Oryzias latipes: one gene and its partners. The main gene of each other region encodes a partner of the protein of the gene in region 3 in a complex. Links are inferred from orthologs where the notes say so. Each region holds a gene or a part of one and is shown on either strand. Other genes may lie near its edges.

Region 1 (3,751 bases), on a different chromosome or scaffold from region 3:
GCTGTGATCTCCTTCTGCATTCTGTCTGCGATTCCAGGGTACATGGTGGTACCTCCAGACAGCACAGTGTTGGCGTACAGATCCTTACGGATATCAACATCACACTTCATGATGCTGTTGTAGGTGGTCTCATGGATACCGCAGGACTCCATACCTGGAAGGAGATTAAATATTAGCATGGGGCACTCTGGGGTCTGTACACAAGTCTTTGGTTGAGGTACCTACCAAGGAAGGAAGGCTGGAAGAGGGCCTCTGGGCAACGGAACCTCTCATTGCCAATGGTGATGACCTGTCCGTCAGGCAGCTCATAGCTCTTCTCCAGGGAGGAAGAGGAGGCAGCGGTGCCCATCTCCTGCTCGAAGTCCAGGGCGACGTAGCACAGCTTCTCCTTGATGTCACGGACAATTTCCCTCTCGGCTGTGGTGGTGAAGGAGTAGCCACGCTCCGTCAGGATCTTCATGAGGTAGTCTGTAAGGTCGCGGCCGGCCAAGTCCAGACGCAGGATGGCGTGGGGCAGAGCGTAGCCCTCGTAGATGGGCACTGTGTGGGTCACACCATCACCAGAGTCCATGACGATACCAGTGGTACGACCAGAGGCATACAGGGACAGCACAGCCTGGATGGCAACGTACATGGCAGGGCTGTTGAAGGTCTCAAACATGATCTGCAGAGACAAAAAGCACAATGTTAGCATGTTACAAAGCAGCAATGCGACCACTCCACTCGCTACATGCATTAAAGTGGGGCTCGATCTATAGTTAGTACATGGTAAACATTCCTTCACACTTGTGCATGTCATTTTTAGGTGCTGATCTGTTACTCTAAGCCTCAAAACACAAGTGCAGATACAAGGCAAACTGTCAATAGACCTTTTGATGAAAGCTCATCTTATAGGAAGAAATCCTAGAAGAGGAGGATGGAGGAAGTATGAACAGAAGGAAACCAAGGTGAAAAGAGTATACATGTGCTCCACTGTGAGGTAAACGGGTACCTGGGTCATCTTCTCCCTGTTGGCTTTGGGGTTCAGGGGGGCTTCAGTGAGCAGGACAGGGTGCTCCTCAGGGGCAATTCTCAGCTCATTGTAGAAGGTGTGGTGCCAGATCTTCTCCATGTCATCCCAGTTGGTAACAATACCGTGCTCAATGGGATACTTCAGGGTCAGGATACCCCTCTTGCTCTGGGCTTCATCACCTACGTAGCTGTCTTTCTGGCCCATACCCACCATGACACCCTGAAAAAAAGTTTAAATTTACATTTAGTAAATCTGGAAACTTTTAAAATTAAATAGTAAAAAATTATAAAGGTAAACAGTTAGGAACTAACCTGGTGCCTGGGGCGACCAACGATGGAGGGAAAGACAGCACGAGGGGCATCGTCTCCAGCGAATCCGGCTTTGCACATGCCAGATCCGTTGTCAACAACCAGTGCGGCAATGTCATCATCCATGGCTAAACTGGAAAACAAACAAATAAGGCGTTAACACCAAAGACACGCCCATCTGCATCTGCTTTGCAGTCAGATGTCCCATTTCCTGTCAGGGAGCGGCAGTTCCCCAAAGTGTCCGCTTGGTGGAGGTAGAGCGCTACATTCCGAGCCCAGACAAAAGGAAGTGGTGCTGCATTCTCTTGTTACCATATAAGGACATAGTTCGGTTTTGAGCAGCTTTGCGGCTACCGGCAAGGCACGCGGCCAAAGTACAGCAAGAGGGGAGGGACTTTAGACTATCGGACCCGGCGACGAAAGCCTACTCCCACTGGTTCATTACAGCTCTACTTTGTCAGCGTTCCCTCCCATTGTTGCACAAGACTGAAAAATTTCTTAATCACTGCGTCATAATTTGTGCGAAGTCGTTGCTGGCATAAAGCACCACGACCCGTCAAGCTTTAGAAGGAAATTAAAACGTGTGCGAGCCCATGACTGATTAATCATTTCCTGAAAGCCACGCCTTTTCTTGAATGAATGATTTGTCATTTGCCCTTTTCTTCGCCGTCAAACTACAGTTACATGCTCAATTTAATCGAATACTTTTAAAATGCTTTAAGGGTTATTACATTTTATACAAACAAATGTATAACAGTCCCACCCCCCTACATGTGAGGAATCAGAGTCAAGTCTAGAAGGGCGTGTTAGCATGAAGCTAGGCTAATATGCTAAAGTAGGTCACACCCCGTAACGGCGCACAAAGGGACCCGCCAGGATCCAGACACCCTCAACTCGGACGGGTAACGTCCGTAGAAGGACTCGAAAAATTCCCCCCACCATGTAAGATACGAATAGTAATTTTTATTTAGTTGCTTATATAAAATATACAATTAAAACCAAACTGAAAAGCCATTTGCCGGTTACAATCAATTGGCACCTGTGCGTTTAAGTGGCTAATTTTGGTACAACTTGATTGATGCCAAAACAAACAAAATTGTCAATTTTAAAAAGATAATTAAAAGTTTAACCATTTCAGGCCTAAAAATAAATTTAGTGGCCACAAAATTCTGCTAATGGTCACCTCCAATTAAGAATTAAACTGCACAATTAAACAATCGTAAGGTTTCCAAAACATTTGAATTAAACCAAATATCGTCTCTATCTTACCTTTGGGTGGGGGGCTTTTCGTTTCAAGGGAATCGGTTTCAGGCGAATGATATCCCGCACAAGCTGTGTGTGACGGCGCTCAGAGTGAATTTGCTAGCCGTGGGCACGTGGTATTTATAGTCCGTCCGTTGCCCGGCTCTTTCCATAAAAGGTAAACTTTCGGAATCGCGGCATGTGATTGGTCCAGCGTCACTCACTGGGGCACGTCGGGTGCACGCTGTGGTGCACTGAGCGTAGAAAGAGGGAGGCGATAACAGTAACGGGCTGGGGGAAAATAAAAGGATAGGGATTGATGTGAGGCCTAATCTAAGGATATAATGTTTCTTGAACAAATATTAATACATATAGAGTTTACAAAGTTTCAAATATATATAAAATATGAACCTGTATAAAGCTTTCGAGCAAGTCCCCCTGCTTATCTGATCATTCAAACAGCAGAGCACAGGCTGCTCCTCCCTGTGAATACTTTTCCTCTTAAAACCTGTCTCTCAAGATTTCAGTCTGGAAATGCAAGATATGTTTGATGCAATTTGAGGACAATTACAATGTGGATGTTGCTGCACACTCTGGAAAGCAGAATGCCACCTCAGATGGAGTCAGAGACCCTCCAAGCCAAACACATGACTCACAAAAGACACTATGGACTGTAAAAGTGCCCTGTCAGAGGATGGACAATAACCACTTTTCCCACTAAGCAATGGTAAAAACTCAATCTCACTAATACCAATTGACCATGTATGGCATTAGTCTGGATTCTTGTTAACTTCTCAGAGCTCTTGCTACTTCCTCTTTCCCCTACAAATGAAGAAAAAAGGTCCACATAAGAGGACACTAAGGCTGACTTGCATCTACTTTTAGTCATAAATGACCTATTGAGTGAAAATAACCACTGTCAGACCCAACCCATACGCTACTATACATTCACCTTAATCGATTAAACTCAGAGAGAGACAAATAAAGTCACACATGCTCTTATTTCCTCTCTGTGGTTTACTGCAAAGGGTGTAACTTTCCTGACTTTGGGTTTTATAGGCTTAGGGTTCTTTGCTTTTACCTTACTTGTCTTCCATTCATTAGTTTCACAGTTTATTTAAACTTTTTTTGCTCCAGAAACATAGCTGCCCATACAAGTTAAATAACCCAGAGGCCATTTAAACATGTC
Region 2 (3,751 bases), on a different chromosome or scaffold from region 3:
GATACCTTCATCTAAACAGACCGTTTACGCCATAAAAATGTCTGAAATTAACTTTGTCCTCCTTGCAACTCATTCCATAGATGAGCAACTAAGACACTGGCTAATTGCTGGAGTCATTACACTTTTCAGGCCTTAAAAGTAAAGTTGAAAAACTTCACGGGCAACTGACCTGAACTAAAGGAGAAACTCCAGAATTTAAAGCAAAGGTGAATCTTGATGATGCAAGATCTAACAAGTACCAGAGAGGATGAATAGCTTCAACCAGGTAAAGGTGGTTAAAAACAAAAAAAAGGTGGGGAGCAAACAGCACAGATCTTCTGCTGAGGTCCCGATGATCCATCTTCACCGGGAGCCCCTCAGGCTGCAGCCTGTAACGCGGCACTGAGCCCCGGAGCACCTGCTCCGCGCCGACAGCAGCTTCCATATGTAAACAGTCGCCACATGCTACCTGAGCGGAACCTCAACCGGGAGCCGCGCGACCGACTCACCGCAGGTAGTACTGCCTCAGCGCGAACGCGGCGTTCGAGCAGCTCCTCGGGAAGTTGAAGTCCTCGGCGAGTTCGACCCATTGGTTTTTATCGGAGACCTGAAAATACATGGAAAATATATTTAAAATTAAAATAAAAAACACACACACCTTAAAAAAAAGAGCGGTTACACTGAAACCATCCGGTCTGCCACAGGTCCCCCCTCCCTAATTAGCCAATATTGGAAATCGATAACTTTCTCAAAACTATCAGGAAACACAACAAAGCTGAAAAAGGCCCTTATTTTAAAATATTTAACCCGTGTTTGTGTACAAATCTGAAACAAAATCAAGTTAAAGTGCATAACTCAGCAGCTACACCGTTACAGTTTAAGCTAGTTAGCCTGTTAGCTTGCTAGCTAACTTTTTTTCCCCCACACTGACGTTAAAACGTCACCGAGTCAAACTTCCACAAACTGTGTCCGTCCGCGCGACCGGGAGCGCTCGCTGCGCCTGCCCCCCACCCCCCGCGCAGCGAGCGACCCCGCCGTTGACGGTGTTCCCCCACACGGGCCTGTGAGGCCTACATTTGGCGTTCAAGCCACGAAGCCGAAGAAAGATGGCCATGGCGAAGAGAGAGGAGATGGGGGGGAAGAAGGGGAAAAAAAAAATGTCAAGCTTCCTCCCCCCGGGCCGAAAACTGTCGGTGACAGCGCGAGGCGGCACGCCGCGTGCCGCGCCGGGCTTCCCGAGGCCGGACCCCGCGCCGATAATCGATGGTGAACGTGCCCGCTCATTTTTGAGCGGCTCCAAGTCAGCGCACTCCGACTTCCGAGCGGACGGACTCTCGATTCAAACAACACAAGCCATGGAGATGCATGGCAAAACTAGCACAAGGCCAACGCCGTCCCCGCTTGCCGTCTCCCTTAGGGGGGGTCCCGCTTGTTGTCCCGGCTGGTCCGCTTGGGGTTCCGGAGCGGTCCGGCGGAGACTCGGCACACAAATCACACTTTTGCCCGTTTGCTCGCACTCACCTTCGCGAATCCACCTAACGAGACCACTCTGATGTAGAGCGCGTTCAGGTCCAGCTCTTTCCCACCCACGACGGGGATCTTCTTGAACGCCGACCTGCGTGGAAAACACAAGAAACGCGAGCACGCGTGTGTTTAAATGACACTTTTAGGCCAACTCTCCGGCAAGTGCAGCGGACGGTCAAAGTTGGGTTTTGTCAGTCGCCCGAATCTCTCACCCTCTGCTCTGGTGAAATTGCCGCAGCTCGTCCAGGAAAGCCTGTCCTTTTCTCCGCTGATCTAGTAGATTTTTCCCCGTCGAATTTGCCATGGTTCCTGCATGCGAAAACGGTCAAAGCCCACGCGAGTCGCTTCCTAAGACACCAAGGATCCCATACTCCGCCGGCGCTCAGTCATTCGCCAAGCTGACTGTTTAAAAAAGTTAAAGAAATAGCTGATAGCAAGGAGAGCGGCAGCTCGCTAATAAAGACTGATGCACAGCAGAGCAAAAGCCCGATACAAGCCCGGACTAACTTCCAGCGAACAGTTACAAATACGACCGATTTACCGGTAGATTAGAAACGCCATGACTGGAGGTGTAGAATTAATGCTTTTGGTCGCGTCTGTGTTCGTTTGGAGTGGTTTGACAGTGTGTTACGGACGCAGCGCCGAGGCTAGCGCACACACTGTAAGAGCGGCAGAGGGATCCAGTTCTAAGACAAAAAGATGAGAAGGCCGCGGAGCCCGGCCTACCATGCGCGCAGCGCCCTCTGCGGCCAGCGGCGGTACTGCGAGCAGCGCGCTCGCGGCCGGAGCGCAGCCTGGAACAATAGAGACTGTTTTCTTTTTTAGGGACCGTCTCACAAATGCACTCCCCCGGTTGGAAAACGGGTCAGAAGGTTCTCAGAAATCTCCCGTGGGGGGAGGGTATAAACGTTTATGAACACAACTCCACACCGGGCGTGCATTGGTTGGCGTATTATTAGCAAATAAGGCAAACATCATCATATTTTTTCTTTTACCTGATTTGTTAAAATGGAAAACTTTAACGTTATGTTTAAAAAGTTAAAACGATGTCAAACAATGATTTTCAAGCATTTAATTTGCGAAAATAATTATAAAAATGTTTATAATAATTTTTCCACAATGTTTTAAATTAATACAGTCAAATTATAAAATTGTCATGCTATGTAAAAGTTTCTGCGCATAACTAATATGCATGTAGAGCTCCCCTTTTTAAAAATCTTGCCTGCAAACAGTACATAATAAAATACATTTTTTCGTGCTTTTTAAATGTTTTTATTGTGAAACAAACTGCAGCTCGCGGGTTTTCGGCGCGCGGGCTACTCCGCCACCATCCCTTGCTGCCCACTTCGCAACGGCTTTTCTGTGACGGGGTGGCAGCAAATTACACCTGATCCCTTTTCCCTGTAACTGCCAAGCGGATATCTTCTTCTTGATGGGGTTACATTCAACCATTACACGTACCCCTTTGCTCGATGAAAAACCTGTCACAAAATGGCGGAGACGTACGTTTGCAGACCCCATTTTGTCAGAAATGACAGCAGACAGCGGAAAAACCGTGCGTGTATTTTCGCGTCGCTCTCTATTTCGGACTGTTTTCGCCACAAAAGCGGCGGTGCTCCGGAGGTCACCGCAGCCTGTTTGGACTCCCCACCCGTCAACCGAATTCTGGGCTAACCTATCGCTCTAGCTTGTTAGCTTAGTCATCGCTAGCATAAAAACAAAATATCTACACATCTCATCTTCTCACTTTTATGTTTATCCGACCAATCATCCATGGAGACTTCACGGGGACTATTGTCTTTGCGCTTTCGCTAACAAAGATGGTTTTGAAAAATAAACTCTTTAAAGTTTAGAAGCTAGCTGTGCTGCTTAACAGTCGGGACATTTTTGCTAATGCTGCTAGCTAGTTTACTTCCCACTTTTGTCGATTTGCTGCTTTTAAAGGCATCTAAATCAATCCCATCGCCTTCATATCATCAATATATATCAATTAATGGGCTTTTTCTAAATTTTATTTTCTAAATAATGTGACGAGTGACTTTAGTAAAGGCATGCTAGCTTTTTTAGCTAGGATGCTAGCCTTACTCTTCGATATTTAAAGCTCTTTTTAATTTAGATCATGTCTTCCCTAATAATTGAATGTAGGGTGATTCCTACAGTCGATTCAATAGTTTGTTAATTTTTTAATGTGTATATATATATATATATATATATATATATATATATATATATATATATATATATATAT
Region 3 (3,751 bases):
TTAATAAAAATCAAATGATTTTCTCATTTGCAAAACAGTCATATATTATGAAAAATGAAAAATATCAGCAATCCACTGTTGAACCAATTGATTTTGTACTGTAGCCTAAATTAAAATGAAAACTTTTATTTTTAAATGTGTTCTTTAAAAGTTAATAATGTTTTGGGGCATTTTGTTTTGCTCTAAGTTTTATTTTGTTCGATAAGAGAAAATTGAAAAACAATGTATTCTGTTTTGATAAATGAAAGACATATAGAAGGCAATAGAACAGATTAGTGAATTCACATGAAAAGAAAGAAGACAATTTAATAGCGTCCTAAATTACTCCAATATGGTTGGCCTACCCGTTGACTTTATTCTTGTGCATATAATCATGTAAATTGAATGCTGGTTGTTAGGACTTGTCAGGACTGTATTACTCCAGCTAATTAAAATGTTCTTTCTTTTTTTATTTTAATTGTTTTATTTTCTACAGACCAGACAGATTTTTTCGTGTTTTTAATATATATTTTAAACTATATATGAATAATATTAATACATATACATGTATATATTGATATATATTAATACATATTTTAAACTACATGAACTATACTTTTATAGTTTTTCTTGTAGTTTTCATGAGTAGCTGCCCAGCCTGTTTGTTGTTTTTTGCTCTTGTATTTAAAAAAAATAGCACGAAAAACAAAACAAAAAAACTTCACGAAAAATACTAAAATATTATAAAGGAACATACTAAATGTTTTTTTTAAGAAATAGCCTATATTACGCCTTCATACCCCACAATTATCCTTTGTCTCTTAATGTGGGCAATCGTGCAGTGTCAAAAGAGAACAGTAGAGGGCGCTATCGCAAAGTGAACGCCTCAGTTGCTCTCGCGTTAGTTCCTTTGCTCCACCGGAGGCGACATCTAGTGAGGAGATGGCGTCCAGAGGGGGGTTTCAGTCTGCACCGACTGGTGGTGGTGGAGCTGTTGGACCTGGACAACCTGTACCCGGTGCTGGACCAGGCATGGGACCCGGGACTCCCACTGGAAGAATGGGTCCATCTTCGGCTGGTCAGAACCACATGTACCGATCTCCAATGCCTGGGCCTGGGTACCCGGTGAGTTATCACTCCATCTTTGCGTCAATGCTAGCCGGTCCGCTAGTAGAACAAAGCCACTCATCGCTGCTTTGTCGCCAATGGCTAACATTAACCCCCGTCCCCCTACAGGCCCAGTTCAATAGAACTTAAGAAACCCATTAAAAGTAATCGACTTTTAATAAATATTTTTTTCGAGCGCTCTGGCGGACTTTTATGAGTTTATCATGTTTGAATTTGCTAAACCTCCCGCTCGCTAACAGAAGGTTAGCTTACATGAAACTGTGCTACCTCGCCTGCTAACGCTAACTAGTAACTAGTTACTGTGTTACGCTCGTCGTAGTTCTCTAGTTACTGATTGTGTGGAGTTAACTGGCATATACAGATTGATTAAATCTATCAACTTTTATGAATACGTCTCGTTTTGACGGGATCCATTGATTTCCTCTGGGAAATCTGAAAGTAAAAAGTCCGCCTCTCAGGAACCGTACTCTGCGAAAACATCTGGCTGCTACCGTCATGTGAGTCTAAATTCAAATTTGCTGAAAGGTAATTTCCGAAAACCCGCTTGTATTTGTCGCGTCTCTCTTTGCTGACGTTTAAAAATTGGCATTTGATTTGACTTCTACTTAACGGAACCATTGAGTTTTTGGTCAGGTTTTAGGTGTAACTCCGCCGTCGAGAACTTCTACTTGTTAATAATACAACGCTTGGTAATGTTTTGCTATTAAAGTACACGCAACATAGTTTACTCATACATTGCAGTTGTTAAACTTAAAAAGGGGGGGGGGGGGGGGGCATGGTAAACTTAAAAGTCCACCCACCTACCTACCAACCTGAATTAATTTTTTTAAAATAAAGACATGCACCCAATTTTGAGAGGAGTCTTCATACTTTTAACCAATTACAAATGAGGTAAACTCAGAATTTACTTGAGGGCATGATAAATATTTTTAGAAATTGAAGATCTTAACCTTGAAAAACTTCAAAAAATGTTTTATTTTTATAAACTAGCAGGGAATGGAGAAGTATCTTATTTATAAATCTATCAAGATCGTTTGATTCTTAATTGATGGAAAGGTGGGTGGTGATGTCATTGTCTGTATAAGAGAACTGGACTGAGCGAGTCTGACGTCACCCGTAGAAAGAAAAAAAAAACGCCTTACTTTCAGCTCCAGCAAAATGAATCCATCAGTCGCTGTTAGATCTGCAGTACACTCATCCCCATGTTGGAGCCAGACCACCTAAGTAAACGGTGATGAGCCTGCGTCTGTAGGAGTCGACGCTTCTATGGCAACTCCTGTCGCCAATCAGGATTAAGCTTTTATCTTAGTCCACATCTCTGCCACTGAAAGCAGGCTCAGGAGAGTCTGTCAATTAAACATTTCAATCATTAGAGGCGGGGTTTACACACGTTCGAGCAGGTACTTCCTATTTGACATCCGGGGTGGGGGTGGGGGGTCACTTAGTCCAGTTCTATTAGGCGGGGATGTTTTGGTGGAAACAAATTGTGGAACTTGAGGGGAAAGTAACATGGCAGTGAAAAATGATGAGGGAAGTGAGCTGTTAGTGGCGGGCTAACATAAATTAAAATGGAACGTGGAAGTACAGCTAGCTAGTTTGGTGATTCAAATTTTAGTGTGGAGTAGTGTACGCAGCAACCTTTGTCACCGTTTTCAAGAAGTTTAACATTAATGCTAAAGATGTTTGTTGTGTTGAAACAGACTAAGAGAAAGAGTTTACATTTCTGCAGTTCTTTTAGGGTTTTAAAAGTGTCCTAGATGTTCAGACTTCATATTTACAATACCTAGACCAAATCCAAGTTCTTCCCCCACTTCTACTTCTCCCTACACCTACAGTTAGCCCTCCAAATGGAGTGTCATATAAAAATAGTCATTTAGACGTCACTCTGACTCGATGAGGTCATCAATCGTCGTCGGTCAGCCACGTTAGCGGGTGGCGATCAGAAGTAAATAACGTGGGTTTTAGAACATTAAAAAGCCATGCTAAAACAAAAAGTATTTACTTACATTTACGTGTAAACTTCTGTGCTTCAAGGCACACCCACTTGCAGAGATACGTTTCTCTTTTGCGGCACAGAACATGCGGAACACCTTTGCGTTGGAGGGCTCCGTATCCCTCCGCGCAGTGAAGGTTTTCCATTCCAAAAACTAACACCCCTACCCCCAAATGCCCCTACAATTGGAGGGAAAGAGAGAAGCTGGAGGGGTAGGGGAAGAATTTGGATTGAACCCTAGTGGGTTTATGTTGAAGTCTGTTTATCTAAAAGACTTTCGATGAAAAAATGTTTTTCACTAAGGCAGTGATTTGGCTACAGTTGTTTATTTTTGTGATTTAAAGACCAATCCCACTAAAGGATACTGTTGACTGTTCCATCTAGGCCTTCACGATAAATGGCAAATTTCTCGTTATCGCGATATCAAGCTGTGCAATCCGCATATAGCAAAAGACAGCGAAAATCGCAATAAATTGTTACTTTAAATGTGCTAAAACAATCTTATGACAGCTTGTAATTATTTAGCAAATCAAATAAATCTATTTATGGATGAAGCCTTTTTGTTAGAAGCTCGCCTCCCATGAAGACTAGTTTCATGTGGAAAATAATTTTAGTTATGTTGACTCTTATTTAAATTAAACCACAGTGAAA

Evidence for each region.
Region 1: smarcd1 (region 3) and actb share a complex: the UniProt entries of both Homo sapiens proteins name them as parts of the BAF complex. The link is inferred for Oryzias latipes from reciprocal best matches to the Homo sapiens genes SMARCD1 and ACTB.
Region 2: smarcd1 (region 3) and arid2 share a complex: the UniProt entries of both Homo sapiens proteins name them as parts of the SWI/SNF-B (PBAF) chromatin remodeling complex. The link is inferred for Oryzias latipes from reciprocal best matches to the Homo sapiens genes SMARCD1 and ARID2.

Annotation. Positions count from the first base shown.
Region 1 is NC_019866.2:19,166,983-19,170,733, reverse strand, and holds the start of actb (actin, cytoplasmic 1), read right to left. Parts: upstream 2,659-3,751; 5' UTR 2,590-2,658; intron 1,454-2,589; 5' UTR 1,447-1,453; coding exon 1,324-1,446; intron 1,232-1,323; coding exon 992-1,231; intron 665-991; coding exon 226-664; intron 155-225; coding exon 1-154. UniProt on the Homo sapiens protein: Actin is a highly conserved protein that polymerizes to produce filaments that form cross-linked networks in the cytoplasm of cells.
Region 2 is NC_019881.2:3,973,956-3,977,706, reverse strand, and holds the start of arid2 (AT-rich interactive domain-containing protein 2), read right to left. Parts: upstream 2,218-3,751; 5' UTR 2,045-2,217; intron 1,906-2,044; 5' UTR 1,808-1,905; coding exon 1,716-1,807; intron 1,595-1,715; coding exon 1,501-1,594; intron 587-1,500; coding exon 489-586; intron 1-488. UniProt on the Homo sapiens protein: Involved in transcriptional activation and repression of select genes by chromatin remodeling (alteration of DNA-nucleosome topology). Required for the stability of the SWI/SNF chromatin remodeling complex SWI/SNF-B (PBAF).
Region 3 is NC_019863.2:13,904,046-13,907,796, reverse strand, and holds the start of smarcd1 (SWI/SNF-related matrix-associated actin-dependent regulator of chromatin subfamily D member 1), read left to right. Parts: upstream 1-885; 5' UTR 886-921; coding exon 922-1,104; intron 1,105-3,751. UniProt on the Homo sapiens protein: Involved in transcriptional activation and repression of select genes by chromatin remodeling (alteration of DNA-nucleosome topology).